Linked DNA regions of Diceros bicornis minor. The protein of the gene in region 1 purifies or fractionates together with the protein of each later gene. This does not show direct contact. Links are inferred from orthologs where the notes say so. Each region holds a gene or a part of one and is shown in the gene's direction. Other genes may lie near its edges. The genes, in order: ANAPC2, NEK2, CDC26 and ANAPC7.

What was found.
Region 2: the proteins of ANAPC2 (region 1) and NEK2 purify together in Homo sapiens (affinity purification with mass spectrometry; 4 studies listed by BioGRID and IntAct, with this or other methods). This does not show direct contact. The link is inferred for Diceros bicornis minor from reciprocal best matches to the Homo sapiens genes ANAPC2 and NEK2.
Region 3: the proteins of ANAPC2 (region 1) and CDC26 purify together in Homo sapiens (co-immunoprecipitation; 7 studies listed by BioGRID and IntAct, with this or other methods). This does not show direct contact. The link is inferred for Diceros bicornis minor from reciprocal best matches to the Homo sapiens genes ANAPC2 and CDC26.
Region 4: the proteins of ANAPC2 (region 1) and ANAPC7 fractionate together in Homo sapiens (co-fractionation; 6 studies listed by BioGRID and IntAct, with this or other methods). This does not show direct contact. The link is inferred for Diceros bicornis minor from reciprocal best matches to the Homo sapiens genes ANAPC2 and ANAPC7.

The regions. Positions count from the first base shown.
Region 1 is NC_080767.1:43,716,750-43,724,405, reverse strand, and holds the start of ANAPC2 (anaphase-promoting complex subunit 2), read left to right. Parts: upstream 1-4,638; coding exon 4,639-4,752; intron 4,753-5,033; coding exon 5,034-5,656; intron 5,657-6,721; coding exon 6,722-6,854; intron 6,855-7,656. Other genes in the region: TPRN (taperin), read left to right, coding at 161-446, 543-649, 756-818; microtubule nucleation factor SSNA1, read right to left, coding at 3,142-3,252, 3,682-3,881, 4,326-4,449. UniProt on the Homo sapiens protein: Together with the RING-H2 protein ANAPC11, constitutes the catalytic component of the anaphase promoting complex/cyclosome (APC/C), a cell cycle-regulated E3 ubiquitin ligase that controls progression through mitosis and the G1 phase of the cell cycle.
Region 2 is NC_080743.1:77,451,082-77,458,707, reverse strand, and holds the start of NEK2 (serine/threonine-protein kinase Nek2), read left to right. Parts: upstream 1-4,612; 5' UTR 4,613-4,687; coding exon 4,688-4,783; intron 4,784-5,620; coding exon 5,621-5,838; intron 5,839-6,127; coding exon 6,128-6,368; intron 6,369-7,626. UniProt on the Homo sapiens protein: Protein kinase which is involved in the control of centrosome separation and bipolar spindle formation in mitotic cells and chromatin condensation in meiotic cells.
Region 3 is NC_080767.1:21,525,529-21,532,732, reverse strand, and holds the start of CDC26 (anaphase-promoting complex subunit CDC26), read left to right. Parts: upstream 1-4,191; 5' UTR 4,192-4,297; intron 4,298-6,932; 5' UTR 6,933-6,973; coding exon 6,974-7,054; intron 7,055-7,204. Other genes in the region: PRPF4 (U4/U6 small nuclear ribonucleoprotein Prp4), read right to left, coding at 1,135-1,321, 3,020-3,200, 4,052-4,099. UniProt on the Homo sapiens protein: Component of the anaphase promoting complex/cyclosome (APC/C), a cell cycle-regulated E3 ubiquitin ligase that controls progression through mitosis and the G1 phase of the cell cycle.
Region 4 is NC_080774.1:8,943,834-8,951,152, reverse strand, and holds the start of ANAPC7 (anaphase-promoting complex subunit 7), read left to right. Parts: upstream 1-4,309; 5' UTR 4,310-4,377; coding exon 4,378-4,478; intron 4,479-7,319. UniProt on the Homo sapiens protein: Component of the anaphase promoting complex/cyclosome (APC/C), a cell cycle-regulated E3 ubiquitin ligase that controls progression through mitosis and the G1 phase of the cell cycle.

The DNA.
Region 1 (7,656 bases):
CCTCTCAGAGCCTCTGAAGGGCCTATAGTGTGTTCTGCTACCTGCTCGGGTCTGACACCCTTCACCGTGCCCCTGAGGGTCAGTGCACCAGCTTGGTCTGGCTGGAGGACCCCTGGTGGCTGGGCAGCAGGGCCTTTGCTGATGTGCCTCTTGCTCCTAGATGAAGATCTCCTTCAACGACAAGAGCCTGCAGACCACATTCGAGTACCCTTCTGAAAGCTCCCTGGTGCAGGAGGCAGAGGCGGAAGCAGAGGAGGGGGAGGAGGAGGAAGAGGAGGAGGAGGAGGAGGAGGAGGCGGAGGCGGAGGAGGCGGAGGCGGAGGAGGCGGCGGAGGCGTCTGGCGCAGAGGAGGTGGTGGAGAAGCCCTTTGCACTCTTCCTGCCCCGAGCCACGTTCGTGAACAGTGTGGGGCCCGAGAGCCCTCGGCTGCTAGACAGCAGCTCAGGTAAGTGTCCAGCTGTCGGGATAGGTGGCCCAGTGGGTAGCCTGGGCCACATGTCCACGCACCCACACGTCCACGCGTGTGCCCCTCGGCCCGCAGGCTTGTCCAGCTATACTCCAAAGCATTCCTTGGCCTTCAGTAAGTGGCAGGAGCAGACGCTGGAGCCGGCTCCCAGCGAGGTGGAGCCTGTGCCGAAGGAGGTCATGGTGAGTGGGGGCAGGGTGGGTGGACGCACAGGGTGCAGGGCTGGGGTGGGGGCTGTCTCTAAGGCCTGGATGAGCCCCATTGGCTGCCTCTGTGCCCCTCTCTTAGCTCACCCCCGCCAGTCAGAAAGACCTCTCGGACTTCCGCAGCGAGCCAGCCCTCTATTTCTGACCCCGGCCCTGCCAGGATGGCCAAGGCAGAGCCCTGGGAGCTCCGCCCTCATTCTGCACCCCTCTTCTGCCCTGCCAGGCTCTGCCCTCCATGTCACACCCTCCCTTCCTAGGACCTCACAGCCATGCTGGTACTCAGGGCCTGAGGCTGGGGCACCTGGGGCTCCTTTTTCTCTTGGGGCTGTCTGGGTCTCGCTCTCTGGCCCTGGTTTGGGGCACTGCCTGTTGAGGAGGGACGGGGTCCTGGCGGACGCTGTGCCCAGCAGCTGCCAAGTGTGTCCCAGGCGAAGGGCTGGCCTGGCTGCCTGTCCTCTGCAGGACTCCAAGCCTCCCCAGCCTACACCCCCACGGTGGAGCTCAGCCCACCCCCTTTGTGATGAATGGCAAGTCTTTTCTCGCCTCTGATGATGGACTCAATAAATAGCACTGGACGAACTGCCTCTGCCTTCCTTGCATGGTCCTCGGCCTGAGAAGGGGGCACAGGGGTGGGGTCTCTGGGGCTCCATTGAGGTGTTGGCAGCCTGCCAGAAGCCACATAGGGTGTGATGGGGCCCAGCATGGATGTCTGCCTGGGTATGGGAGGGGCCCTGGGTGGCATCCCAGTCCTAGTGGTTCAGGCTCTTGCTCCCCACAGGCCCAGTTGTCTGGCTTCCCCTCCCAGCCACCCCCTCCCCTGGGAGAAGGACCTCCCTGTGCCTGCCCCCATCTGTGGAGCAGCCCCCTCCCCACCAGGGCTGGCACAGGGGCAGCTACGGTGGGAGGTGGGACACCAGGCCTGCTCTTTGGGGTCTGAAACTTCCCAGGCACTCTAGGCAGCAGGGGTGGGACTGCTGCAGCTGTCGGGTCTGAAGGGCCAAAAGCCTGGGAGGGGATGAAGGGCAGGGCAGGGAGTGGGCAGAGCCTCAGGGATCTTGCCTCCTGTTTGGCTTGGAAAGCTCCCTGACCCATGGGAGCCTGCAGCAAGGCTGTGGCAGGCAGGCTGCTCCCCTGGGGTCAGTGCTAGCAGGTGGCAGGAGAACCCGACAGATCTGAGGTGTTACACACAGCTGCCCGCTAGGGAACAGCTCCTGGCTGGGCTGCTGCCTCAGACATACTTGGCTGCCTGTGCAGCCGCAAGCTGGAGTCGGGGCTGTTTACGATCAATGCTTCGAATGAGAGTCTCTCCGTCCTAGAGAGTCAAGCCCATCATAATTGCCACCTAGCCCGGCTTGGGAAGGATGACGGTGTTTTGGGGGTGTTTTCTTGGGAGAGGTGGGCCCAAGTCTCTCCAGACTTTCCAGCAACATGCTTCCCAAATCAGTTCAGCCCACCCTGGGCTGCAGGGACCCCAGCAGGGCTGACAGGCCAACAGAGACAGACCCAGAGAGGACTCGGGCTGGAGGGCTGGGCCCCAGGCGACATGGAAAGCTGAAAGTGGGCACGCTTGGTGTGTGGCCAGTGAAGGCAAGAAGCAGTGGTGCCGTCGCGGTGAGCAGAGTTTAGAATCATGGAGCTAGGGCGCAATCCTTGGTGGGGGACCTGAGCCCAGGAAAGGCGTCTCCCTGGGCCAGGCCTTGTGCTGGACACCAGGGTGTGGCAGAGACTAGGACCAGCAGGCAGAGCCCCTCAGTAGGGGATGAGCTGTGTGCTGGAGTCGGGGAGGGGGCCAGTGGCCCCGGTGCGGAGAGGGTGGGCGATGAGGGTCATGGGAGATCCTCAGGGTCACTCTCAGCTTTGTCCCCAAGGCCAGCAAGGCTGGTCACAGGGAAAGCCACTCCAGGCTATACTCTAACCTCTCCCTCACAGAGGAGCTACGCAATAGCTGGGCAGGGGCTCGTGTTCTGGCTCTGGGAGTATCCGGCAGCCCCGTAATCCTGACACAGGCAGCAGGCTGGCATGGATCTTTACAAAGACAACCTTTATTGACAGTCACAGACCACAAGGACAAGCTCTAAGGTGAAGGAGGGGCCCAGCCCCTCCCCCACTCACCAGGCCTGGGCACCTGCTGGCCAAGGGACAAGGTGAAGGAACTCCCCTAACCAGGGCCTTACCTACAGCCGAGGGGAGTATGGGGACCTCAGAGAGGCCCCAAGTGGAGCTGGCCCCGAGCTCGCCCTCCCTGTAGCCTGAGTGAGCACAGGGCCAGGACTCCCACCTGGTGGGCTGCGCCCAGGGCTTTTCTTGTCACTCAGGGCCAATGGAGGCTGGCAGCTGCCTCCCTTGGCACCTGAGACAGTGAAAGAAGTTACCTCCTGTCATGAAAAACAGACACTGTGAAGACAGACTTGCTAGGGGCCAAACCATTAATGGCTGCAGTGGAGACAGGCCCCTCTCCACCTGTGGCTTCATGAACTGTCCTTCTCTTCAATGATCTCCTGCTCTGAGGCCATGACTTTGCTCAGGTTCCCGGCTTCCCTCTTCACAACACTAAGCAGAGCCTGTGAGCTCTCCAGGATCTGGGAACAGAAACAGGCATGAGACGGTTCCTTCTGTCAGAAAACTCCTGCAGCCCAGCCCCCCTCACACATGGTGCCAGGGCCAGGCTGTGGGGGCTACGGGACAGGAGCTGCCAAAAGGAAGCCCCTGAGGGGACGGGCGGACAGGGTCAGTAGGGCACTTTTCCCTCCGAGTCTAGCCCAAAGCCCCTTCCTCGCACCCTGGGAAAGCCACACCAGGTGAGCCCTAGCCCCTGCTGCTACTCTGCTGCTTCCCCTGTGCTGCTCATGGTACCACTTAGGGTGCAAAGAACAGAACTCAGGACGCACCAGGCCCCACCGACGGCCGGGCTGTCACTCCACAGTGGGCCCGGCCACACCGGAGTCCTATCACCTCTGCTTGTGGGTGTCCCTAGGCCAAAAACCGCCTGGGGACTCCGCGAGCCCTACCTTGAAGAAGGCAGCCTCAGACTCTGTGATGGTCCGGTCAAGCTCTTTGTAAGAGGCGATCTTGCATGCCAGATTCTCGTTGACTAGGGCCAGCTTCTCTGTCAACCGCCTCAACTGATTATGCAGCCGCTGCTTCTCCTTCTCCTCCTTCTGGATCTGCCGGCACAACTTGTTCCGCCTCTGGCACAGGACCTCCATGCCTAGGGTGGGCGGGGAGGGGCAGGCGCTGTGGACCCAGGGCAGGAAGGAGAGCATCACCCCTCCCAGTCTGCAGCCCACAGCTTTGTAGCAGAGACGAGTGGTGGCGGGCGGGGGTGCCACCTTCCGCCTGAGCCCGGCCAGTGTCCACCTCCGGGGTCTAAGGGTTAAAGAAGGCACCGCACGAGACAGCCGGGGACGGGGGCGGGGGGTAGGGCAGGGGCCAGCGCATGCTCAAGCCCCTCATCCTCCTGCTCGCTCCATAGATATCCGGTCCTCGGCGATGCCACACTGTGGCCGCGCGCTGGGAAGATCCGCATGGCCTCCGCGCGGTCCGGCCGGACACCCACGCACTGGCCACGCGCTGCGGGCCATCGCGCCTGGGCCGGCAGGGGCGAGCCCCGCGCCCTCCCGGGGCTCAGCGGGCCCGCCGCGCGGCCGCTCACCCTTGATCAGCTGGTTGTTGTAGTCCTGCATCGCCGCGCCCTGCTCGGTCATGGTCGCCGCGCCCTCCTCGGTCATGGTCGCCGCGCCCTCCTCGGTCAAGGGCTCCGCGCCCTCCTCGGTCATGGTCGCCGCCCAGGCTCGGCCGCGCCAACCGCCGCTACCGCATCCTGCCCGCGCCTGCGCACTGCCTCCCGACGGCGCGCCCACCGTACGTCACTGCCGCGCGCCTCGTGTGCGTCATCTCCCTGCGCGCCCAGCCCTCCCTCACCGCCGGGCGTCGCGCCGGGCGGCTGTGGGAGCGGGTGGACGCAGATGGCGGCGGCGGCGGCGGCGCCGGGGCACGGCGACCCCGCGCCTTCACAGGAGCTGCTGGTGGCCTGGAATACCGTGAGCACCGGGCTGGTGCCGCCGGCAGCGCTGGGGCTGGTGAGGCCCGGGAGGAGGCTTTGTTGGGGCGCCCGCCCTCGGGTTGCTGCAGCGCCGTCCTCGCCGGCCCCTGTCCTGCCTCTTCTTCCACGGTCCCTCCTCATTTGGCTTCCCGCAGCCCTTCCCTGGCATCGGCCCGGCATCCGCGCGCCGCGGACTAGGGGCAGCGGGGTTTCCGCAGCCTCCCCTCCATCTGGCCCTTCCCCGCCTCTCCCCAGCCGTCACCGCCTTCCCCACCTCTTCGCTGTGTTCCCTTCTCCTCACGGTTGTCTGCGCTCCAGGCGTCCTCCCGGACCAGCGGTGCGGTCCCGCCGAAGGAGGAGGAGCTCCGGGCGGCGGTGGAGGTGCTGAGGGGCCACGGTCTGCACTCAGTCCTGGAGGAGTGGTTCGTAGAGGTGCTGCAGAACGACCTGCAGGCCAACATCTCGCTGGAATTCTGGAATGCCATCTCCCAGCGCGAGAACTGTGCTGACGAGCCCCAGTGCCTTCTGCTGCTCCTTGACGCTTTTGGCCTGCTGGAGAGCCGCCTGGATCCCTACCTGCATAGCCTGGAGCTCCTGGAGAAATGGACTCGCCTGGGCTTGCTGATGGGCACCGGTGCTCAGGGGCTGCGGGAAAAGGTCCACACCACGTTGCGGGGCGTCCTGTTCTTTTCCACTCCCAGAATCTTTCAGGAAATGATCCAGCGCCTGTATGGGCGCTTCTTGAGAGTCTATATGCAGAGTAAGAGGAAAGGGGAAGGGGGCACAGATCCAGAACTGGAGGGGGAATTGGACAGCAGGTATGCCCGCCGCCGGTACTACCGGCTTCTGCAGAGCCCGCTATGTGCGGGATGTGGCAGCGACAAGCAGCAGTGCTGGTGCCGCCAGGCACTGGAGCAGTTCCACCAGCTCAGCCAGGTCCTGTGAGTACTCCCGCCTGTGTGGCCTTGCCCTGTTCCTCCTTAGTCCCACTTGTTCCCCTGGGTCCAGCTGGCCTCTGCAGAGAGCTGGTGAGCTGGCTGGGGGCTCTGCCACCTGTCCTGATAGCCACGGGCATGACAAGGGGAGGGTCCCCAGAATCCCTGTGCTGTGAGTTTATACCTTTTGTTCTGGACGCAAGTGTGTCTCTCTGTCACTCAGGTAAACCTAGGGTTCCACGCTTTGCTTATGCTGAGACCTCATGTGGTTCCAAGTTTCCTGGGCCACGCAGAATTCTGCTGTGCTTTCTGTAGGCTCTCCAGGGGAGGAATGATGTTCGTTCTACCCTGTAATTGCAAAAAGTGGGCTTGTTATTTTTCTTCTCCAGAGAGAGTTGGACATTAGGCTGACATGCTGGGCAAGCGATTGCCTTTGTAGCCCTTTGAAGTGGAAAGGTTGTTGTCGTTGTCATTGTCGTTAGAACCAGGTTGTGTTGTATGGGTCCTACGCTCTCTGTGGCCATTTATGATGATTTTGTCACTTCAAGTGGCGTGGCAGCAGTACAGCTGTTGGGGAGAGACTTTTAGCTGGACCCAGGGAGTGGTACTGTTGCTGGCAGGGGTCAGGGAGGCCCTGAAGGGCTTCTGCTGGGTTCATCCCAGGTGAAAGTGACGCAGAAAAGTTCTTTTTCATTTTTTCTTGCATCTGTTTGCCATCGTAGACGAGAGTATGCGCTGAAAGGCACTTAAAGACAGCAGTATCTGTATTTATGTGGCCAGAGTAGGGATGTATTTGGGTGTTGTTTCACAGCCGTTTCTAGATGAGGCCTTGGTCCCTGATAGCCACACACGCTGCTCACCTGGGGAAGGCCAGTGCCCTGGCCTGGGCAGAGATGCCAGCTGGGGAGGGCGGGCAGTGGCTTGTCCATGCTCCATCATCCCAGCGGCTTTGAGGAAGAACCCTTGGTACAGTTGTGCCCCCACCAGGAGGGCCCTGGAGAGGTGTGTGCCCAGTGTGGGGGGTGGGGGTGTGTGTGCTCTGCGTGTTCCACGGGCAGGGCTCTTCTCTAGACATAGGCTCAGTCTGCTGGAGCGGGTCAGTGCTGAGGCCGTGACCACCACCCTGCACCAAGTGACTCGGGAGCGGATGGAGGACCGCTGCCGGGGCGAGTACGAGCGCTCCTTCCTGCGTGAGTTCCACAAGGTGAGGACGTCCCTCCTCGAGCCTGATCCCTGGGGATGGGGGATAGGCTTCTGGCAAACCTGAGACTCCGGCTTTGGAAGCAGCCAGAGTGTGGAGGCCAGTCCTTCTGGGCCTGCCCTAGAGACAGCAAGGAAAGCCTGTGACATGCTCGGCGAGGTCTGTGCAGAATCACCTGGTTAGAGGCAGTGCCAAGGTCTGAGATGTCCCATTGAGGGGCCTCAGAGTGCCCACGCTGTTGGGTGTGGTCTGGGGCTCTGCTCTGGGCTCCCCAGAGTCATGGAGCAGCTGGCTCCAGCCTCAGCGGCCGTCTAGCCTGCTTCCACTTGCTACCTGTTCTCCTCGGTTTCCTAGTGTCCACCTTCTGAGGGTGCAGATTAACCACAATGGGGGATTCAAAGCAAGTGTCTCTCCCCGCAGGAGTGGTCTGAAGTGGGTGGCAGCCTGGAGGCCTGGTAGGGGCAGCTGTGCTGCCTCCAGGTGGCAGAGTGTTGGGGTGGTCTCATCAGTGGTTGGGTGGTCTATGAGGGGAACGTGTGTGTCTTCGGGTTCGTGTGGCAGTATGTCCTGTAAGTTTATGTGTGTGCGCTCAGAAACGTTCTCACTATATGGTACGTTGTTTACACGTGGCGGGGGCCAGTCGTGTATGTGGCCTCAGGGCAAGTCTGTCCACTCAGGCGGAGGCGAGCACAAGCTGCTATGTGCCCTACGTTAGGGCCACTGTTGCCAGAGATAAGCATGGGCACTGAGGCACATGGAGGGGCATGGGGGTGCATTGATGGAGGACCTGGGACGCCACCTTTGT
Region 2 (7,626 bases), on another chromosome or scaffold:
TCTAGGGCCCAGAGAGTTGGACTGGATTCCCTAGGTCACACAGCTCATCAAAACAGAATTAGAAGAACCTGGGTTCCTAGACCTTGCACCCACTGTTCCTACAATTTCACTGTGCTGCCCCCTGAAGGGAAAATTGGGAGCGTTCTCTAAAAGCTCCTAAAGTCCCTTAGGAACACGTTATGGCCTCAGCATCCGTGACTAGTTTTAACATTCTTCTTAACCAATTTATATTATCAATATTCTTAGAGATAACAATATTCTTAGAGATAACTTCTCACAAATATCGTGAGAAGCTATGTAAAATTTGTGAATGGCTCTCTCCGTCTGAAAGTTTTTCCTTGTATTGAACAGAAGTCAGCCTTGCCCTAACTTGTACCCTTGGGTGCAAGTTTGACACTATCCTTCTTTGAAATGTGGTGAAGTTCAGAACTAAACACTATTCTGTTTCAAAGATAAATTTCTTCTCATCATATTCTTCCATCAGCTGCCTGCCATTAAATCCAAAGCTGTCTCTTTGTTTGCATCTTGTCCTTCTGTTTATATCAAGTGGTGTGTCGCTATTAGGGCCAGGCTCCATAAAACCTCATTCTTTCTTCTAGAACATGCTTATTTATTGACATACTATGTCATGCACCTTTCTTTAACATGTTTTAGCTTCTGATTATTATGAACAAAGAATGTCTCCTTTTTTTTCTTTCTAGAAATCCTTATTGATTACTTTAAAAAATTTCCATAATCCCTGACTTCAAATTGCTCCAAGTAATTGTGGAGATAAGACACACAGAATATCTTGTCTGAAATTTGAAATGCTCAATATGCAAATCTCGGAGTTTCCTGTAAGGACAGGCCTCTGAGGGTGGACGGGTGGATGTACTGTCTCCTTGTTTGTTATGCAGTGATGTACAACCCCCTAGTGGGTCATTAATGTAACATAAAAAGGAAGCTGAGGGCAATGAGGTATGGCTTCCTCCATTCGTTCATTCAATGTACAAATGTTAATTGAGTGCCTACCATGTTCCAGGCAGGTTTTAGGTGCTGGACATACTGCAGTAAACAAAAGCATATGCATTCGTCACTTAAGATGAAGAAGACAGCCAGTAGAATAAGTCTGGGGCAAAAATCAGGAGCTTGATTTTGGACAGGGTAAGTTGGAGATGCCCATTAGTCTTCCAAGTTTCTTCTTTTAAAAATTAGTTGGTGTCTGGGAACATCTGTAGAGCACTTGTGAGCAGAAAACACAGACAGAGTGTCAATAATCTCTTCATTTGGGATTTCACCAAATTTAAACGAAAACTGACAACATGAGCACATTTAACAAGAAAATTGTGCAGACAGTGAATTAGACCCTGGGCGCGGGAGAGTGGTTACAGAGATGCTCAAGCCTTGGCCCCACCCTCATGGAACTGCTCATCTCTTACTTCTCTGTTTAAATGTAATCTTCAGTTTCTGTCTCAGTTCTTTGTTTGTTTTCTGAATTCTCACCGCAATTTGTAACGGCTGAATTTCTCTGCGTGCTTGTGTCCATCTACCTCCTCCACCTCCAGGACTGCGCGTCAGTCCTGCTCACTGGGGTATCTTCAGCACCAGGCAGAGCCTCAATTTATATTTATTGAAGGATGAATTTTTGATTTAATATGTCAGATAAGGTAGATATACATGAGAAGCTAGTAATATAGACTAGTATATGGCACATTCTAAATGAGTAAAGAACACAGTTAATTGTTCTTTTAGGCGATCACAGTGGGTTGAAGGCAGTCAGGCAAAATTTCAGGGAAGAAACTGGGCATGAGCTGAGTCTTAACGAACAGGCAGACTATGAAGGAAGGAGGGAGGAAGTGACAGCGGAAGGGTTGTTTTCTGTAAAGTGTTCCTGATTGATTTCCACATGCTCCTCAGCCACCAATGTCTCTTTATACTCTGGTGTCTAGTGGTCTCTGCTGGGCTGTCTCGCCCCTCACTCCTACCCAATGATATGGACTAACTCTGCAAGTCATTAGGGTTTGTCACGCCATGTCTATGTCACTCTTTTCTTTATCATTGTCATCATGGCCCCACTGTCTCTTTTTTAATGAACACCCAGCATACCAATGCCTATCATTATACCTGCTACATAGTAAATGCTCAATAAATATATGTTGAATGAATATATGTGCCTAGGAGCTGCTCTCCATACTCCTGGGGTGGCCCTTTCCCCAATATTTAGTCTCTGCCATGGGGCTGGGGGCATTTGAAACATGAGTACCAGAGGGCTCACTCCAAATCCTCGCATGATTATTAATGAGCTTCTTTCTCATATTTTCATGTAACGAAGATTTACTGCATGTCTCCTTTATTACAGGACTTATGCTGGCTACAAGGAGCTTGGAGCTGAGCTCCTATGAGACCCACGTAAATAAATCATCAAACAAATAACAAGTTAAAGGTTGATTTATGCATGAAGGGGTCTGTGAACACTGTAGATGGAGGAATTGCTTGTTCTGGTGTGCTAGGAAAGGCTTCCTAGAGTGCAGGAGAGAAAGTTGGCATTGAATCTTGAAAGACAATTTGTGTCCTCGAGACAGATGTGATCGGGGTGGGGGAGTGGATGAGGGAGTAAGGCAGACAGCATTGCAGCCAATGGAATAACAGGTGCAAAGGAGGTAGTGGTAGTGGTGGTAGGGGGCATCTGAGAAAGTGTGCTGAATTCAGGGAACTGGGGCAAAGAGCAGAAGAATGGCCCGAGAGAAGATGCGGGACTGGATTTGGGGCTGGCCAGCCAAAGAGCTCCACGGATGTCCATCTTTAAAATGTATTAAAATAAAAAATATAATGCCAATTAACTCAGCCACTTGTAGCTCCTTACATAGCTTTTGAAACCTAAATTGGTCACATTCCCTTGAGGTAAGACAGTGCCCTTGAATGTTCCTTTAAAAATTCTCCTGGCTGGCGATTTCAATTGTTATATTCAGTGCATGTAATAAATTCCTTATTTTTAACATAAAGAGGTTTGTAATTCTTTTTTTTTTTTTTTTGTGAGGAAGATCAGCCCTGAGCTAACATCCATGCTAATCCTCCTCTTTTTGCTGAGGAAGACCAGCTCTGAGCTAACATCTATTGCCAATCCTCCTCCTTTTTTTCTTTCCCCAAAGCCCCAGTTAGATAGTTGTATGTCATAGCTGCACATCCTTCTAGTTGCTGAATGTGGGATGCGGCCTCAGCATGGCCAGAGAAGCGGTGCATTGGTGCGCGCCCAGGATGCGAACCCCGGGCCGCCAGTAGCGGAGCGCACGCACTCAACCCATAAGCCGCAGGGCCGGCCACTGTAATTCTTATTAATAGAAAATCAAGTTCCTTTCAGTCCCATGCTGAACAGATATTTAAAGAAAATTGACCTACTTATGCATTGCCAAGTTATTAGCCTTCAGGTAATACACATATTCCACCATCCAGCCCCACCCAGGGGCCTCCAGGTCCCCTCTCCCAGCTAAAAATGAGAATGTTCCATTTGGCTGGGTGAGCTGAAAATGTTGGTTTCTGTGGGTGCCCAGAAGAGGCTGCGTTCAATGAAGTATTGTCAGTTAAATATGTGTCCAGCATCCAGCATCCCAACTACCCTATTTGGTAGTCTTTTCTAATAAAATTTTTTTTTGTAGGAGTCTTAAAGGTCCCTGACTGTCTCTGCCTTAGAGCCATCATATTCTCTGGGTATTCCAAAACATCAGGGACTTCCATATTCTACCCTGAGGTTTTGTACACATCCTCTGCATTTGAACAGGCCTCTAAATTTGGTGTTCAAAAATATAGTCCCTATGTGAAAATGTCAAATCACTACGTTGTACACTTGAAACTAATATAAGATTGTATGTCGATTATATCTCAGTAAAAAAATAGTCTATGGTGACTGCACTCTGACGTCGTGTGTGAACTTTAAATCATTACCATGAGTAACCACTGTTTTCACATTGATTCTTCTCTTCCCGGACGTTGGACCTAAAGCAAATAATTTAACCTTTCTGTGCTTCCATTTCCTCATGGGAAATGATAACACTACTTCCTCCGTTATAGGTTTGTGTTGAGAAATAAACGAGACAAGACACGCAAAGTGCTTGGCACACCCCCGCACCAGAGCCAGCACTCATCCGCGCATCCTTTAGAGAGGGACTGCACTTTTGATCTCTGTACTTCACTCTCACCAAGTCTTCCGCGTGACCCCGCCCAGGCTCAGGGTACAGGAAGCTGCGAGAGAACAGTGGGTAGTGTGAGGGGTCAGAGTGCAACGGTCAGAAGGTAGTTGGTTGAGGCAGTGTGCAAAGAAGTCTGAGGAAAGATCTCTGGACTTTGGTTACACCTCAGCCAGAGGAATAGAGCCGCGGGCACCCACCTGCTGCCGCTTTCTACCTCCCTCCCTGCCTTTGATTTGGCTCCGCCCCTTTCTCCCTAGAGGTTGAAAGCAGACGCCGACACCGACGCGGTTGCCTAGCGATAGGCTTTTCCCAAGATGCCCATGGTGTTGTGTTCTCCTTAGCCAATCAGAGAGGAGAAGCGACCTGACCGCGGGCCAATAGACTGCGAGTCCAGGGCCCGCGACGGTTAAACGGGGGTGGACACTGGAGCTGCGGGGCAGTGGGGTTCGGAGGGGTCCCGGAGTCGGTGGCTGCAGCTAGGTGCCTGCATCGCGACCTGCAGGAGTCGTGCGGCCGGCCCGGCCATGCCGACTCGGGCGGAGGACTATGAGGTGCTGTACACCATCGGCACGGGGTCCTACGGCCGCTGCCAGAAGATCCGGAGGAAGAGCGACGGCAAGGTGAGCGCGGGCCCCTGCCCTGTCTCCGCCCCTGCTGCGCCCGCCGCCGCCGAAGGGAAGCGAGAGGCCTGGGCTTGTGGATCTCGAAAGCAGGGTGCCTGCAAGAGTCAGCCATCTTCCCCAGGCCTGCGTCTGTCCTGGGTCGCTCAAGGAACGGGAGACTGTATTTTTTGATATAGCATATTTTTACCGTCTTTTTTCCTTTCTCTTCCATTTCCTTCCTTTTTCCTGCTTTGACCTGCTGAGGGCCTTCCATTGGTGACAGGTAGCTGACTTCTGAGCTATTTTTAGAGAAGAGTAGCCCTCTCAGACGAGAGAAAGGGGCGGGGCCCCCAGAACCTGGAGCTTTATGTCTTGCAGTCAGACTCATTTAAAATACCCATTATTCTGGTTATTGATTCATATTTCCCAGTGTGTGTAGGTAGACCTTATACAATGAGAAACAATACAAGAAACGATGAGAGGAAACTGCCTAGCTGCTGCTGGAGGGATCTTTAGTAAGGTCTCTCACCCTGGAAAAACTTGACTGGTTGGGATGATCAGGAACTTGGACTACCTCCGCTCCAGCCTTGACCAAAGTACTTTTTGCCAACCTCCCACAAAACAAGTGAGGGTAGGGGGTTGAGGGAGGCCTAATGTCTCTCATCCCTCTCTCTCCTATTGCACCATTTACTGCTTAAAAATTAGAGGAAGATTATGAAAATAAACTCAGGGGTCCTTAAGTTCATTGAATGAAATTAGATGATAATGACTGTATGATCTATTTAATAGGCAAGTAATTTTTAAAAATTTTAAATTTTGGAACGTTCATTTATACCTTGGAAATTCTTATTTCAGATATTAGTTTGGAAAGAACTTGACTATGGCTCTATGACAGAAGCTGAGAAACAAATGCTTGTTTCTGAAGTGAATTTGCTTCGTGAACTGAAACATCCAAACATTGTCCGTTACTACGATCGAATTATTGACCGAACCAACACAACACTGTACATTGTAATGGAATATTGCGAAGGAGGAGACCTGGCTAGTGTAATTATGAAGGGAACCAAGGAAAGGTAAATTAATCTTTTAAATATAACCTGAAAATGGGCCTAGTTTCATTTCTTTAAGCATCCTGTTTTAGGGTCAGGAATGAAGTACTTAGTAATGTGGAAGAGTGTGCTTGTATTTGTTTGATGAGTCCACAGTACTTTAGAAAATCCTTGGTGAATCAACACCCATATTTCATATCAAAATAATTTATTTCCCTACTTCTACACTTTGAAAACTAGATAATTCATATCATCCCATCTTTGTAATGGTTTTATTCAGAAGTTATATGCTATATAACTGCTTTGATTTCAGACAATACTTAGATGAAGAGTTTGTTCTTCGAGTGATGACTCAGCTGACTCTGGCCCTAAAAGAATGTCACAGACGAAGCGATGGTGGTCATACTGTGCTGCATCGGGACCTGAAACCAGCCAATGTTTTCCTGGATGGCAAGCAAAACGTTAAGCTTGGAGACTTTGGGCTAGCTAGAATATTAAACCATGATACGAGTTTTGCAAAAACATTTGTTGGCACACCTTATTACATGTCTCCTGTAAGTATCTCAGAATTTAGATACTTTTTTAACATCTTCATGCAAGCATTCAAATGCAGAGAAATTGAGCTTTGTGTTTGTTTAGTAATATCCAATAGCCAAGAATTAATAATACTATTTCCTTTTAAATTTGTATTTTCCAAATGGACCACCAGACCATTAAACTCCTCTGTATCAGCAATTCAGGTAAGCTTTTATTGAGTGACTACCAGGTGCTCACCTCTGGGGTTACAATGATGACCTAGGTTTTGTCTTTGCTCTCAACAGCAGTGTTTCTCAAAGTGCCATAAGTCCTGGACACCAGCTTTTACTTGTTTGGAATATTTGTTTAAAATGCAGAGTCCTGGGCCCCAAATCCAGTGAATTTGGGTCTCTGGACAGGTCCTTGCATTCTGCCCTCCCCCCCTTTTATTTTGGACTCCATATTTTAACAGACTGTAGATGATTCTTGTGCATGGAGATTCAGGGCTCAAGAGGCTCACTCACTTCAGATAACATGTTTTTACGGTGTTAACTTTCTGTACTTGTTCTTTTTTTCTTGACTTTTCCTACAGTGGAGGTGCAGAGACCACCCACTTTACTTATTTGTTTCCTCTATTGCTAGATATTTTGTTTCCAAAATTTCTCACCATTCTAAGGAGCACTGCTATGCATATCTTTGTATAAATTATCCTTTCTTCCTTTTTGGTTATTTCCTTGGGGTATAGGTCTCAAAATGAAATTGCTGGGTCAAAGGGTATGAACTGTTTATGACTCTCTAGATATCGCTTGATGGCTTTTAAAAAGCTTGAATCAATAAGTGATAGCACCAGTGTGCTGTAGATGAAATCTGAGCAGATAAAGATGGAGAGATATTTATTAATTTTTTTAAGAGTTCACAAACATTTCTAGGATATTCTAAATCTTTTTTGGTTATATTAACTGATCTGACTATAGTATAAAGCTTTGTAAATTAATGATTTTGTTTTTGACTAAGATTAGACATGGCCAGAAGAGTGTCATTTTCTTGCCAGATCAAGTTGCAAATAGAAAGCCTTTAACATAAAGGAAAATTATCCAGAAGTAGTTCTTGGAAAATTTGAAACCTGTGCAATTCTTTTGTTCCTTTTCCCTCCTGCCCTTGTAATTAGATCAGTTCAGCCTTCCCTAAGGCATTGATTGTCAGGAAGTGGTCTCGGACTCACCTGTTGTACTTTATTTTTATTTTTATTATAAATTTTTATTTACTTATTTATTTATTTTTTTCCCCCAAAGCACC
Region 3 (7,204 bases), about 22 Mb from region 1:
ATTCCAGGAGGACCACTGTGGCTACTAAGCCTTGTAAACTGGGGAAGAGTAGCACAAGATGAGGCTGAAGAGCAGGATTAGGAGCTTTTTACTCCAAATAAAAGACGATGACACTGCAGGATTTTAAGTAAGCAATCAAGACAACACATTTGGAGCTATTACAACAGTCTAAATGTGAAAGCAATGGAGGCAGAGAAAAGAAGACACATTGGAGGTCCCGGCCCCGTGGCTTAGCGGTTGGGTGTGCGCGCTCCGCTGCTGGCGGCCCAGGTTCGGATCCCGGGCGCGCACCGACGCACCGCTTCTCTGGCCATGCTGAGGCCGCGTCCCACACACAGCAACTAGAAGGATGTGCAGCTATGACATACAACTATCTACTGGGGCTTTGGGGGGAACAAAAATAAATAAATAAAATCTTTAAAAAAAAAGAGATTCTGCAATTTTAAAATCACAAGAGGAGCGTTATCTGAGGACAGTGCCCTTTTCAACAATATCCAAAAAACACTTCTCACTATGTTTTACGTCATTGACAAGAAATGCCTTTGTTGTCTAAATTTTCAAAGTTCAACAAACATTTACCCAACTCAAAATTCCACACTGGGGAGGGGAAGGAGCATGTTAACGCCTTCTTCACAGTTTATAAAGACAAATTAGTAGCAGAGTAAAAACTGGCTTAAGGCTCAGATTATGGGCTAAACTATTCTGTTAACATTGTCTGAGACATTCTATTAAAGTTTTAGCTACATTACCAACTGAAATTTGGGACTAGAACCCTGTGGTTAAAAAAGAAAAGAGTAGGGGCTGGCCCCGTGGCTTAGCGGTTAGGTGTGCGCGCTCTGCTGCTGGCGGCCCGGGTTCGGATCCCGGGCACGCACCGATGCACCGCTTGTCCGGCCGTGCTATGGCAGCGCCCCACATACAGCAACTAGAAAGATGTGCAACTATGACATGCAACTATCTACTGGGGCTTTGGGGAGAAAAAGGGAAAAAAAGGAGGAGGATTGGCAATAGGTGTTAGCTCAGGGCCGGTCTTCCTCAGCAAAAAGAGGAGGATTGGCATGGATGTTAGCTCAGGGCTGATCTTCCTCACAAAAAAAAAAAAAAAAGAAAAGAGTAAATATCTAGAAAGGGCACCTTTCTCTTCTTTCAGCAGGACCCTCTCCGAAAAGCGTGATGGGCTCCCCCAAGGCCCGAAGGCAAGCCTTGACCTCCGAGTCATCTGTGGAAACGTTGATTTGCCGGGCTCGCTTCCTTCTCTCAAACTCGGCTAATACTTCAGCCTGTCGCTCACTGATGTGCTCTTCAATTTCAAACACTTCTCCTATAAAAAGAACAGGAAACATCAGCATAATCACCAGATCTTCTTCAAATAGAGGAAAAGAAATAATTTCTCACAATTAGAGTCTGTGTATGCTACTAGGGAAAGTCAACTGTCTAATCTATTAAGCACTTTATAGATATAGTTTACTCTTTCTCAGTTTATTAAATTATGCCAAACACAGAAAATTAAATGATACAGCTTTAAGAGGCAGGAAAATGGTTCAAGTCATGTTGTTTGATTTGGCAACCTTACACCCATATAAACACACAGCTTACATGAGATGAGAAAGAGTACGGAGCATCTTTAGCAAATGAGTTAAATGGCTCTTCTATCCAGAAGATAAAATAGAAATGCGGTTTTAACAATTGCCAAAGCTATTCTCTAAAACAGTCCCAGTATCGGGACACTTACAAATGAAACTAGTAAACTAGAAAGAATTACCATGAAAATGATATTCCTTGACTCGAAGGCTTTTTGGATAATCTAGCAGCTGGTTTTTTTTTTTTTTTTTTGTGAGGAAGATCAGCCCTGAGCTAACATCCACGCCAATCCTCCTCTTTTTTGCTGAGGAAGACTGGTCCTGAGCTAACACCTATCGCCATTCCCCCTCCTTTTTCTCCCTTTTTCTCCCCAAAGCCCCAGTAGACAGTTGTATGTCATACTTGCACATCCTTCTAGTTGCTGCATGTGTGACGCTGCCTCAGCATGGCTGGACAAGCAGTGCGTCGGTGCGCACCCGAGATCTGAATGCGGGCCGTCAGTAGCGGAGCGCGAGCACTTAACCGCTAAGTCACGGGGCCGGCCCCTCTAGCAGCTAGTTTTAAAACTCACACCAAATACAAGCATTTGGATGAAAAATGAGAAGAACAGCGGTGATGCAGTTATGTTTAAAAACAGCATAAATGGTTAAAAATGTCTGTAAAGTGCATGTGTATAGAAAAGAAAATGTGTAGGAGGATCAATGAGAAACCTGAAAGAGATCCTTTCTGCAAAGAAATCTTTTCATTTTATACCATTCTGTACTGTCTGAATTTATGACAAACATGTATAATTTTATTTTAAAAATACAGTAGGCCACCAGTTACTGACATGGAAAGATATCCTCAATAGTACATAGAGTATAAAATACAAGTTACAAAACTATTTGTATATCATGGTTTCATTTATGGAAAAAAATTATACATTTTCATAGCTTTATTAAATTCTCAGAAAGATATACACCCAATTAATAAGCATTACAGGATTTTATACTTCACAATTCTACATTGTTTGATATTTTTCAAAATAAAAATAACTATTACTTATATAATTTAAAAAACATTTCATTTTGAGGGAAAAGTAATTGCAAAACTAAAAAAACGGAGAATATTATGAACGACAGTAGCTCCAAACCAATGCCAGAACTATGCTAGATCTCCAGAAGACAAACGGAATCACTTTGAAGCCAAATACACGCTGAATAAACTCCTGACAAAATTACTAACAATTCACGGAAGAAAAACTGTATAAAAGGTTTTAAGAAAAAGGCGTTCTGGATGATGATAAGCGGGGTAGGCAAAGTAAAACCTTACACAGATGCAAGTTTAAAACTGCAATTTTATGACACTATAAAACTAGTGATATCTAAGTTTAGGAAGGTATTCATTACAGAAAAGTTGAGCACCAAAGGTAAACATGGACTCACAATTTGCATCTTACCAGAGGTTATGTTAATATTTCCTGCTTCAATTCCTGCTTTAAGTCCTTCTTTTCCCAAAATCCCAGACTCTCCTTTGGCCAGACGCTCCCTCTCCTTCTCTTCCAAACTTCCATAATAGATGTGTGGCTTCTTCACAACAGGAGCGACTAAGTCATCAGGTGCCTTAGTTTTGGTCGCCTGCTAAATCAAAGACCTGGATTAACCTAAGGCTTCACCTTAGCAATTTACCGGCCTTCCCCAAAGGATGAGGCTCATCCTGAGCGTCAGTCCTATTTCTTCCCGAACGGAAACGACAAGTTGGACACCTTAAGATGCGTTTTCACTGATTGAGGGGGGTGTTTCTCAATCACTTAAGTTTTGCAGACAGGAAGAAGTTGAGGATACTCGTGCATTTCTCTTGGTGATTTTCCTATCAAAGGTTTGCTTTTAAACACGTTTACTTCATTCTGTTGGAAGTGCAATGTCTTCTGCGGTTTTACGACACTTCCAGGGTTATTGCTCATCACAGGGGAAATATCAAGGATAACTGAAATAGCCAAGGCGATGTAAGGGGGAAACAAGTTACAAAGATGCTGGTCTATACACTTCAAACGTTTTCAGACGTCAGGCTGTAGATAGGAAGAAAGAAGGCCTCATTACAATTAAGAGGTCTGACACGGACATACATCTCGGCCAAGGCACTACGTCCTCCCTTTCAGAGCTGCGTTTTTGGACCCGTGGGAAGAGATATTTACCGTTCGCGGGTGTAGCGAGTGATGCAAATAAGCTAAAGCGCATGAAAGCGCTGAGGGATCGGGAACACGCTGCTCCTCCTCACACCTCCACCGCCTAGCCCGTTCCCTAACGGCCCCATCCCGCTGGACTCCCCACCCCTCGGCGCTCCCTGCCAGAGTGAGCTGAGCTCTGTACCGTGGAGGAGGCTCGTGAGGAAGCCATGCCGAGCTCTGGAGCCGCGAAGCCCCAGCGAAACTCGACCTCTACGTTTCAGACCGTCCACCGCGCGCCCAGCAAAGCGGAACTGCGTCACCTACCGGAAGTGGGCCGACAGCCGGCGCAGCATCGTGGGCGGCGTGGAGCATGACGGGAGTCGTAGTAGGACAGATTCTGGGCGCGTCGAGAGGCGTGGCTTGTAGTCCTCCGAGGAAAGCACGCGGAGGACGAGGTTCTGCGAGGAGAGAGGTTGAGAGTAGTCTGGGAAGTGTAGTCCAGCTGGCCTGGCAGAAGAGTCGTAGTGGGCGCCGAGGTTCTGGGAAGGGGCTGAGCAGCCTTGAAAAGAGGTAGGTGCGTCGAGGCGCGCGGCTCCGGGCTGAACTCGGGAGCGAATCTAGGGCTTCCGGGGCCTGCGGTCCCTCCCGGCCCGACGCGCGGCTTTACGTCATCCTGGAGCGGAGGTCCCTGTTGCCATGGAAACCGTCACCCTGGACCCCGGGTGCTGCCCTGGAGCTGCGGAAGGAGAGCTGTGCTCGTTCTCCGCTGTCGGGAAGTCCTCTGCCAGGGGCTCCCTCTGAGCTGGATGAATTCGAGCAGTGGCGAGAGAAACAGCTCGAAGAGCACTCTAGCTCCAAAGTAGAATAAAGACCCGGCGGAGGAGCCAGGGCCTGATTTTGTTGTTTGTCTTCAGCCCAGTCTTTGTATCAGATTCAGAGTGAGATGATGGATGTGAGGCGTCAGGTAATCTGCACGCAAGCAACTCTGCATGGCCCTGCCTTCCGCTGCGTGCTGGGGCATCAGAGATGAACAAGACGAGGCTTTTGCCCCCATGGCGAGGGTGGAGATGCTTAAAATGTTGGTGTTTCCCGAGCTGACAGAGCCCCTCCCCGCCCCTACGCCCAAGGACAATTACAATAATAATGGCTGTTATTTATTGAGCGTTTACTAAATGCCAAGTTATGTTCCTGGAACTTACTTTGCATTACGTCATTGAATCCATACAACAACAGAGTACGGTTACAGAAACTAAAATCCAGTGAAGGATGAAGCTAATTGTTTGTGATAAGTGGTGGATGGGATTAGAACCTCTGCCCTCTGCCCTTTTGCCTCTAGAGAGCACTTGTACCCATTACTCTATATTGCTTCATAGAATTTTTCACAGTTTGCCGAAGAGTTAAAATGCAAAGCAGTTTTTTCTTTCTTTTACGCATCCACCGCTCCCACCGCCCCCCTCGAACTTTGGCTCCCTCTACCACTTGCCTACACTGGAATCAAGATATTATCTGATTTAATGTAAAGCAATTTGAAATGTAATGTGCTGGTGTTTTGGGTTGATAATATCACCTGTATTTATCTGATAATATCACCTAAGCTTCGTGGGAGAAGGAAACATTTCTTCCTTTGTATATTTCACAGTCCTTGATACATCCTGGATACATGTAATAATAATTTATGTCTGTAAAAACTTTAAAGGAGCTTTCACTTACATCATTCTCATTACATTAGTCAGTTACATCAATCATCTTACATCAATCCTCACCGTGGAACGTATGTATAATTTTTATAGGAGGCTGACATTTATTAACCAAACTGAACAGCTTCGACGTCATCTGTAAAATAGGGGTAATTTTGTTGGTGTCACAGTTTCTATGTTAAAATAAAAATGTAAAGAATGGGAATGGAAAAGCATAGCACAGTGCTGAAGAAAAGTTCATTTCACTTTAATTGGATCTCAGTTTATTCAACAAAACGTTTACTGACTGGTGATTATAGATACACTCTACTGGATGCTGTGGAGAATATGAAGATGCAATCCACAGATTTTAAACTCAGTTGGGGAGTTTTATTTTCTTCTCAAAAAAATGTTTTTTGTTAGCATAAGCATTACCTAGGGTTTTCAAGCTCTGGAGGGTTCTCTTGAGCCTCTTTGCGTATTTGTTCTCTCTGCCTGGAATGCCCTTAATCTCTTTACTCTGTCTGTCCTTAACCAGTCAACTAAGACATCATCTCTTCCAGGAAGCCCTCCACATTCCTGTCCATCTCACACTCAGCCCAGACTGGATTGGTGCCTGTTTGGTGCCATTGCGTTACCCTTGCCAGAGTTTTATTACACTGTGTTGCAATTTTCTGTTTATGTGTTTGTTTTCCCCACTGACTGTGACTGTGCCTTTTAACTCTGTAGCTGGAGCACAAGAATTGTTTGTTTAATGAATGACATATCCATTTAGGACCTAATTAGATCCTTAGGACAACTCTGTGAATTGGTGAGTTAGAGGGAGTTTTCGTGAGATTTAGTAAATTTATTTTAGCATTTGGGGGTGATCACAAATCTCTCACAATTCTCATGTAGTGTTGATCAAATTTAATGGCTTATATACTCTCCCACTGACTATACTGAATTAAGATGTGATCTTTTAACTTTATTCTCTTAGCTAGAATATTTCTCTGAATGTGACAGGAGCATGAGATTAAAGTGATTGTTACCTAGAATTCTCTTTTATAGGTAGTTTGGCGTTTTAAGTTCTTGAAGAAAGAGTTTTTTGGAATTACAAAGTTGTGGATCTCAATCATGTAATAAAAATGTAATAATCATACACCAAAAGTCTTAGAAGTCTATGTGTGAATCCAAATGAATCTTTTTTTTTTTTTGTGAGGAAGATCAGCCCTGAGCTAACATCTGCCAATCCTCCTCTTTTTGCTGAGGAAGACTGGCCCTGGGCTAATGTCCATGCCCATGTTCCTCTACTTTATATGGGACGCCGCCACCGCATGGCTTGACAAGCGGTGCGTCGGTGTGGCCCGGGTCCGAACCCCGGGCTGCCGCAGCAGAGCATTCGCACTCAAGGGCTACGCCACCAGGCCGGCCCCAAATGAATCTTTTTTATTGCCATTCATTTTAGCAAGCATGCGTACAAACTGATCTTACATTTGCAGCTGAGATTTATCCCCTCCAGTTTTTCCTTCTCTCTGCCTTTTTAACAGCTAATAGTTCACTGGGTCTGGCCTTTGATGTTGATTTCAACATGCTGCGACGAAAACCAACCCGCCTGGAGCTGAAGCTTGATGACATTGAGGAGTTTGAGAGCATTCGAAAGGACCTGGAGGTAAGAGCACAACTTTCAAACCCTTAGGAATATTTAAAACTCCAACTTTTGAACTCCAGACTCTTGTACCAGCAGCTTATTTGAAATCTCTATTTGGACGCTTTACAGCCTCTCAAACTTAATGTATTAGTTTCCTGTGGCTGCCGTAAC
Region 4 (7,319 bases), on another chromosome or scaffold:
TCTGTTCCAGCCCCACTGACCTCCTCACTCTTCCTCTAACATGCCAGGCCCACTCCTGCTTTAGGCCTCCAAGCTTGCTGTTTCCTTTGCTTGGGACCCTCTCCCTCTAGATTTCTCCATGGCTCCCTCTTGCCCTCCTTCAGGTCTTTACTCATTTGTCACCTTTTCAGTGCAGCCTTCCTTGATCATGATTTAAAATGGCAGCCCCCACCCCAACACTCCCTCTTCTTTACCTTTTAAGCATCTTAAAAAAAAACACATATGGAAAATTTAATGCACAAAAGTTGAAAGAACAGCATAATGAACTCCCAGGGACCTGCCAGTTAGCTTCAGTTGATATCAACATTTTGCTAACTTTGTTTCATCTGCTCCCACTTCAAGGAATATTTTAAAGTAAATCCTAGACATTGTTTCTTCCATAAATACTTCAGTATATTTTATCACCTTCTATACTATTTGTATTACTTATTTGTTGTTTATCTCCCCTCATTGGAATGTCAGCTCTAAAAGAACATGGATTTTTGTTTGTTTTGTTCCCTGCTATATCCCCATGGTCTAGAATAATTTCTGGCACACAGTAGGTGCATAATAAACATATGTTGAATGAATGTACAGTGAAGCAGCTGAAAGGAGAGGAGAAACCAATTAACAATGAATGTCTCATTATAATGATTTATTATGTTCGTCTAGTGTTTCATGATTTATAAAGCATTTTTTATACCATCAATATCTTAACTCTTTTAATTAAATGAGCTATGTGATGAGGTCATTGACTCATGCTTCTTCTTCATCCATTATTGAATATTTGTTAACACCTACTATGTGCCAGGCACAGACCACAGAATGGTGTGCAAGACAGATAGGCCCTCTGTCTCGTTAGTTTCCAGTCATCCAGGTGGGTGTAGACCTGTCAGGAATGCAAAGAAGCGTCCCACTCACTCTGCCCCCTCGTGAGACAAGGTGTACAGAGATGAGAAAAGTTAATTAACAATCACAGATTTAAGTATGGTGAAGGAGAGGCATATAGGGCAATGAAGTCATTAGTTATCAAACGAATTGTCCAAACTATAATTCCCATTCAGAGAATCGAGGCATTAAAGGAGAGATGAATCACTTTTTAGGAGAAGGTATGGCAATTTCAACTAAAAATGTTTCTTTCTTTTTTTTTTTTTTGCTGAGGAAGACCAGCCCTGAGCTAAGATCTATTGCCAATCCTCCTCCTTTTTTTCCCCTTTTTCTCCCCAAAGCACCACTAGATAGTTGTATGTCATAGTTGCACATTCTTCTAGTTGCTGTATGTGGCATGCCGCCTCAGCATGGCCGGAGAAGCGGTGGGTTGGTGACTGCGCGGGATCCAAACCCAGGCCGCCAGTAGTGGAGTGCACGCACTTAACCGCTAAGCCACGGGGCCGGCCCCTAAAAATGTTTCTTGAATCTATGAATGTTGGTTTATTCCAGGATCAGTGGATATGTGACTTTACAGTAAGATGTCAATCCAGATATAAACCTAACTATATTTTGCAATTACAGTGTAGCTTGGAGAAGGTAAATTGGAGACTCATGAGTCACGTGGCTTAAAGATGTGTTTATTTTTTTAATGGTTTTATTGAGGTATATAAAATTCACCCATTTTGGGCCGGCCCCGTGGCTTAGCGGTTGAGTGCACGCGCTCCGCTGCTGGCGGCCCGGGTTCGGATCCCGGGCACCCGCCGACACGCTGCTTCTCTGGCCATGCTGAGGCCCTGTCCCACATACAGCAACTAGAAGGATGTGCAGCTATGACATACAACTATCTGCTGGGGCTTTGGGGGGAAAATACATAAATAAATAAAATCTTTAAAATTCACCCATTTAAGTGTACAATTCAATGATTTCTTAGTGAATTTAGAGTTGTGCAGCAATTACCACAATCCAGTTTTAGAACATTTCCATCTACCCTAAAAAGATCCCTCTTGCTCATTTGCAGTCACTCCCGCTTCCCACCCTCACCATCAAGCAACCACTAATCTTTTTGTTGCTATCAGTTTGTCTTTCCTGAATGTTTCATATAAATGGAGTCAGAGATTGTGATTTTTTTCCGTCTGTTTTTTTTCACCTAGCATTATTTTTAGCATAATAATTTTGAAATTCATCCATGTTATCAGAAGTTTGTTCTTTTTTTTATTTTTTGCTGAATAGAATTACACTGTATGGATATACCACATTTGGTTTATATAGTCATCAGCTGGTGAATATTTGAATTGTTTTCACTTTTTGGCTATTGTTAGATGTGGTTTTCATTAGGAAATATTTTGAATGTAGAAAAAAGTATGATAGCAAGCATTTATGTAGTTAGTGTTTACTCTGTGTCAGCCACTGTTCCAAGTGTGTTAGATACAGCGGTATACACAGCATGTTTGACACCCAGAGCAGGTCAATTTTTATACCTCCTTCCCCTTTTTCTTTCTTTCTTTCTTTTTTTTTTTAGTAAACTTTATTTTTTAGAGCAGTTTTAGGTTCAGAGCAAAATTGAGCAGAAGATGCAAAGAGTTCCCATAAACCCCCTGCCCCCGCACATGCACAGTCTCCCCCACTACCAACATCCCACACCAGTGTGATACATTTGTTACAACTGATGAACCTACACTGACACATCATTATCACCCAAGTCCATAGTTTCTGTTAGGTTCTCTCCGTGTTGTACATTCTATGCGTTTTGACAAATGTATGACATGTATCCACCATTATAGTATCATATAGAATAGTTCCACTGCCCTAAAAATCCTCTGTGCTCCGCTATTCCTCCCTCCCCTCTACCTCCTGGCAACCACTGACCTTTTTACTGTCTCCAGTTTCATCTTTTCCAGAATGTCAAATAGTTGAAATCATACGGTATGTAGCCTTTTCAGATTGGCTTCATTTCAGTTAGTAATATGCTAAGTTTCCTCCATGTCTTTTCATGGCTGTGCTCCAACGATTGACAAATCTGTTTATGCTGCCTATTGAAGATGAATATGCAAAGATGATCAGTTTTTTTTTTAAAGATTTTTATTTATTTATTTATTTATTTTCACCCAAAGCCCCAGTAGATTATTGTATGTCATAGCTGCACATCCTTCTAGTTGCTGTATGTGGGCCGCGGCCTCAGCATGGCTGGAGAAGCGGTGCGTCGGTGCGCCCCCAGATCCGAACCCAGGCTGCCAGTAGCGGAGCGCGTGCACTTAACCGCTAAGCCATGGGGCTGGCCCTAATCCGTTATCTTTTTGTACTGTAATATTTGTTTTATTTTTCATTAAAATTTTTACTGGCATCATTATTTAGATGAAGTTTAAGAAAATGATATTTTCGCTGTTTCTTTTCTGGCCATTATTATTAGTCATTTCATTTCAGGATTATTACCGAAAGTAGGTTTTTTGTAAAAGAGAGAGAGTGGTCAAGAGAATGAGAAAAAAAGCTACAGACAGAAAAAATATTTGTAAAACACATATCTGATAAAGGACTGTTATCCAAAATACGCAAAGAACACTTAAAACCCAACAGTAAGAACACCAACAACCGGATTGAAAAATGGGCAAAGGATCTAAACAGACACCTCACCAAAGAAGAGATACAGATGGCAAATAGGCCTATGAGAAGACGTTCAACGTCATATGTCATCACGGAATTGCAAATTAAAACAACACTACACACATATTAGGATGGCTAAAACTCAACCTAGCCTTTATTCACTCTGAGTTAGTGAGTCATTTCACAGGGTAAAAACATGTCTTTTTTGCACCCAAGGCGTCCCTCCAAAGGTGAAGCCTGACTCCCACAGGTACACACAATACCTGAGAGGAGGGGGCGTGGCACCTTCAGCCAGGTGCGCCAGAGCGACTTGAAAGCAGTTAGGACTGCCCCTGGCGCCTGATTAAAATATTTAATTCCAGCTGTTGGAGATTTTTCCCGCCCGCACCCTACTATACTTTTATTTATAACTGTCCATATATTTTTATTAACTTCTGGGAGACACAGATTCCTCTCAGACTCATTTCAATTGAGCATATATTCATACTGAGGTGCCTTTTGTCCTCAGCCCATTGTAAGCCCTCAGTAAAGTCTGCAGCTTAGAATGATGATGCAACTTTTGCTAACAGAACGAAACAAAAGCAAAAACAATAGTCCCGAAAACCAAATCATTCCACCTCACAGGGGGCTTGGGGGAAGAAGTTTTGTTTTTTTTCTTTTTTTTCTTCTTCTTCTATTCAGGCACTTCAGTAGTTGCCTATTTTCCTGGGGGCGGTGCCGCATGTGGGCCCGATGGACCCCGGCGAGGCCGCCATTTTGGAGTCTTCTCTGAGGAGCGTCTACCGGCTCTCCGCGCCGCTGCCGCCGCTGCCCTCGGCCTTGCCGGGCGGGATGAATGTGATAGACCACGTGCGAGACATGGCGGCCGCGGGGCTGCACTCCAACGTGCGGCTCCTCAGCAGCTTGTTACTTACCATGAGTAATAATAACCCGTGAGTGGAGGCGGGGAGCGGCCTGGGGCTGAGGAGACAGCGGCGCCGGCTTGGGAGCGGGGGCCGAGGGGGCCCGGGGAGTGGCGGGAAGGAGCGGCCGCGGGCCCCAGCTGAAGCTCCGGGGTCAGCCAGGGCCTCGTCGGGCGGAGCCGGCTCAGGAGCGCAAGTTGAGGTCGCCGGGTCCCCGCGTTGTGCCGGGCGCTGGGATGCGCTCCCTGCGGGGGATGTGGCGAGCGGCGGCTTGGAGAGACGGAAGGCGGAGGCTCCGAGGGCGACCCTGGCGAGGGTTTCCCGAGGCCCCTGTCGCCGGGCATAGCGACTGTCACATCGCTGGGCCGACTCTTCCCTTCCCGGCCCCTGGTTTTATACCTTCGTCCCCCACCCGAGATTGCTCTTTCTCCTTGAGTGTATCAGGAGAGTTCACTTTCTCCTCGGCAAACGGGGGGCTCCCTGGCTGGGTGGGAGTGGTGCCTTTCTAAGGACTCGCAGGGCCCCTTTTCTGTTTTTCGCGCTGCCGTCTATTGAGTCTTATGACGGAGGAAGCACAGGGCCGTGTGCAGCCTGGAGTGCCTGTCGCAGCCGTGCTTCAGTGTCTCCATTCTGTTTAAATTAAAGTTCCTTCCCATGGCTTAGAGGCCGAGCATCTTTCTCCCCGACTTCATCTCGTCTGCTCTGCTCGCTGTACTCCAGCCTCCCTGCCTCTTTCTCTTGCTGGAACGCACCGAGCTCGTTCTCAGCTCAGGGCTTTTGCATTGGCTCTTCTGCTTGGAGTCCTCCCCTCCGAGCTGCCTCCTCGTTCAGGTTTCAGCTCAGATATCCTTCCTCGAGAGCTCTTCTCTATCAGAATTGTCCCTTCCCCTCACTATGTATCCCTTTGCCCTGTTTTATTTTCTGCATCACTCTTTTTCTAATTGAGATGTAATCGATGTATAACATTGTTTGGATATTTGTGTGTATTGGGAAATGATTACCGCAATGTCTAGTTCACGTCCATCATCACACAGTTACAATTTTTTTTTTATTATGATGAGAGCTTTTAAAACATATATTCTGCGTGACTCGTAACACCTCATGAAGTCAGCACAGTGCCTGTGCAATAAGCATTCGTACGTTTTTTGAATGTGCTAAGGAAGTGCATACAACCTTAGGGAGGTGAAATACTGTTTCTGATTTCACACACATCTAGTAAGTGGAGGAGCCACGATGTCTGCATTTTGGTCCTTCTGACTTTAGAAAGTCTCTATTCTGACCCACCGCAGTTTACTGCCTCTCAGTGGCATTATAACTGAATCTCCTACCCAAGGTGGACCCATTGCATTTGGCTTGCTCTAGAAGCTGTCTAGGTTAGAAAGGAAAAGCCCCTCAAGTGCCTGCGATGCAGCCACTGCTCCCGATTTCATTTCCATTACTGTGCTTTTGGGCCTTGCTACTTGAGACCCGTCATTTTGCCACCATTCATTTAGTGTTGACAGTGAGGAGCCCTGGTCTCTGTCAGCCGTCTGTGTTTGTTCTGGAGTCTTTCACTTGGTTCTGAGTGATTTGTCAAGGCACACAGTTTCCACCATTGGAAATTTATACACCAGTTAGTCATTACTCTTAGTTCCGGAAGATGTTACAGGGTAGTTAGAAGCAGTTTGATCCTCGGACTAGACTTAGTTAGCCCATGCTTCTTCATAATAGGTTAAACTGGCGGTTTCCTAGCTTTAGGAGGCATTTAAATTCTGACCTTTATCATTAATATTTTAAATTAAATTGGCAATATACATGGTAAAAAAAATTCAAACAGTGCAAAAGGGGTATGCAGATAAGTGTCTGTCCCTGAGTTTTGACCCTCACCCCACCATTTCACTTCTCCAAAGGCAACAACTATTAACAGTTTCTTTTTTTTTTTTTTAAAGATTTTATTTATTTATTTTTCCCCCAAAGCCCCAGTAGATAGTTGTCTGTCATAGCTGTACATCCTTCTGGTTGCTGTATGTGGGATGCGGCCTCAGCATGGCCGGAGAAGCAGTGCGTCGGTGCGCGCCCGGGATCCGAACCCAGGCTGCCAGCAGCGGAGCGCGCGCACTTAACCTCTAAGCCACCGGGCTGACCCTATTAACAGTTTCTTATGTATCATTCCAGAGATGACTTATGCATGCATAAGTAGGCATGTATGTTACAATATATAAATATCTGAATGCTTTCTCTGAGTGTAGTAATATTTTCTATCCAATCTTATTTCTCACTAAGTACATAGAATCTCAGAGTTGGAAGAGATCTTAACTCTCTGGACTATACCTTTGTCCTTGACTTTCCTTTGTAACTTTATATCCCGTGTTTAGCCTACCTATCCTTTCTTTTTTTTAAGATAAAATTCACATACTGTCAAATTCACCCTTTTAGAAAATACATTTCTGTGGTTTTAAGTATATTCAGAGTTGTGCAGCCATTACCACTGTCTATTCCAAAACATTTTTATTACCCCAAAAAGAAAGCTGGTATCTGTTAGTAGTCACTCCCCAATTCTGCTTTCCCCAGGCCCTGGCAACTATAGTACCTGTTCTTGAATATCTTTCATTTGTTGAGAAATTAACTGTCTGCAGAGTTCTGTAACTCTGACTGTTTTTTCATTTTAAGCGGCTGTAGCTTTTACCTGTCAAAAACGTGTAAACTACTCAATTTGAGAAGAAGTGGGGGAGGGGTGGGTCAGAGATTAAAAATGGATTTTCCATTAAGAATAGTGGCCAGCTTCTAGGCAGTTATAACACTTGTGAACAATATTCAAGGTTAAAGAAAAAGTTGTGAAACGTATTGGTTCCTTACACTGTCCTTAAGCCCCTGAGACTCAAGGAGATAAAT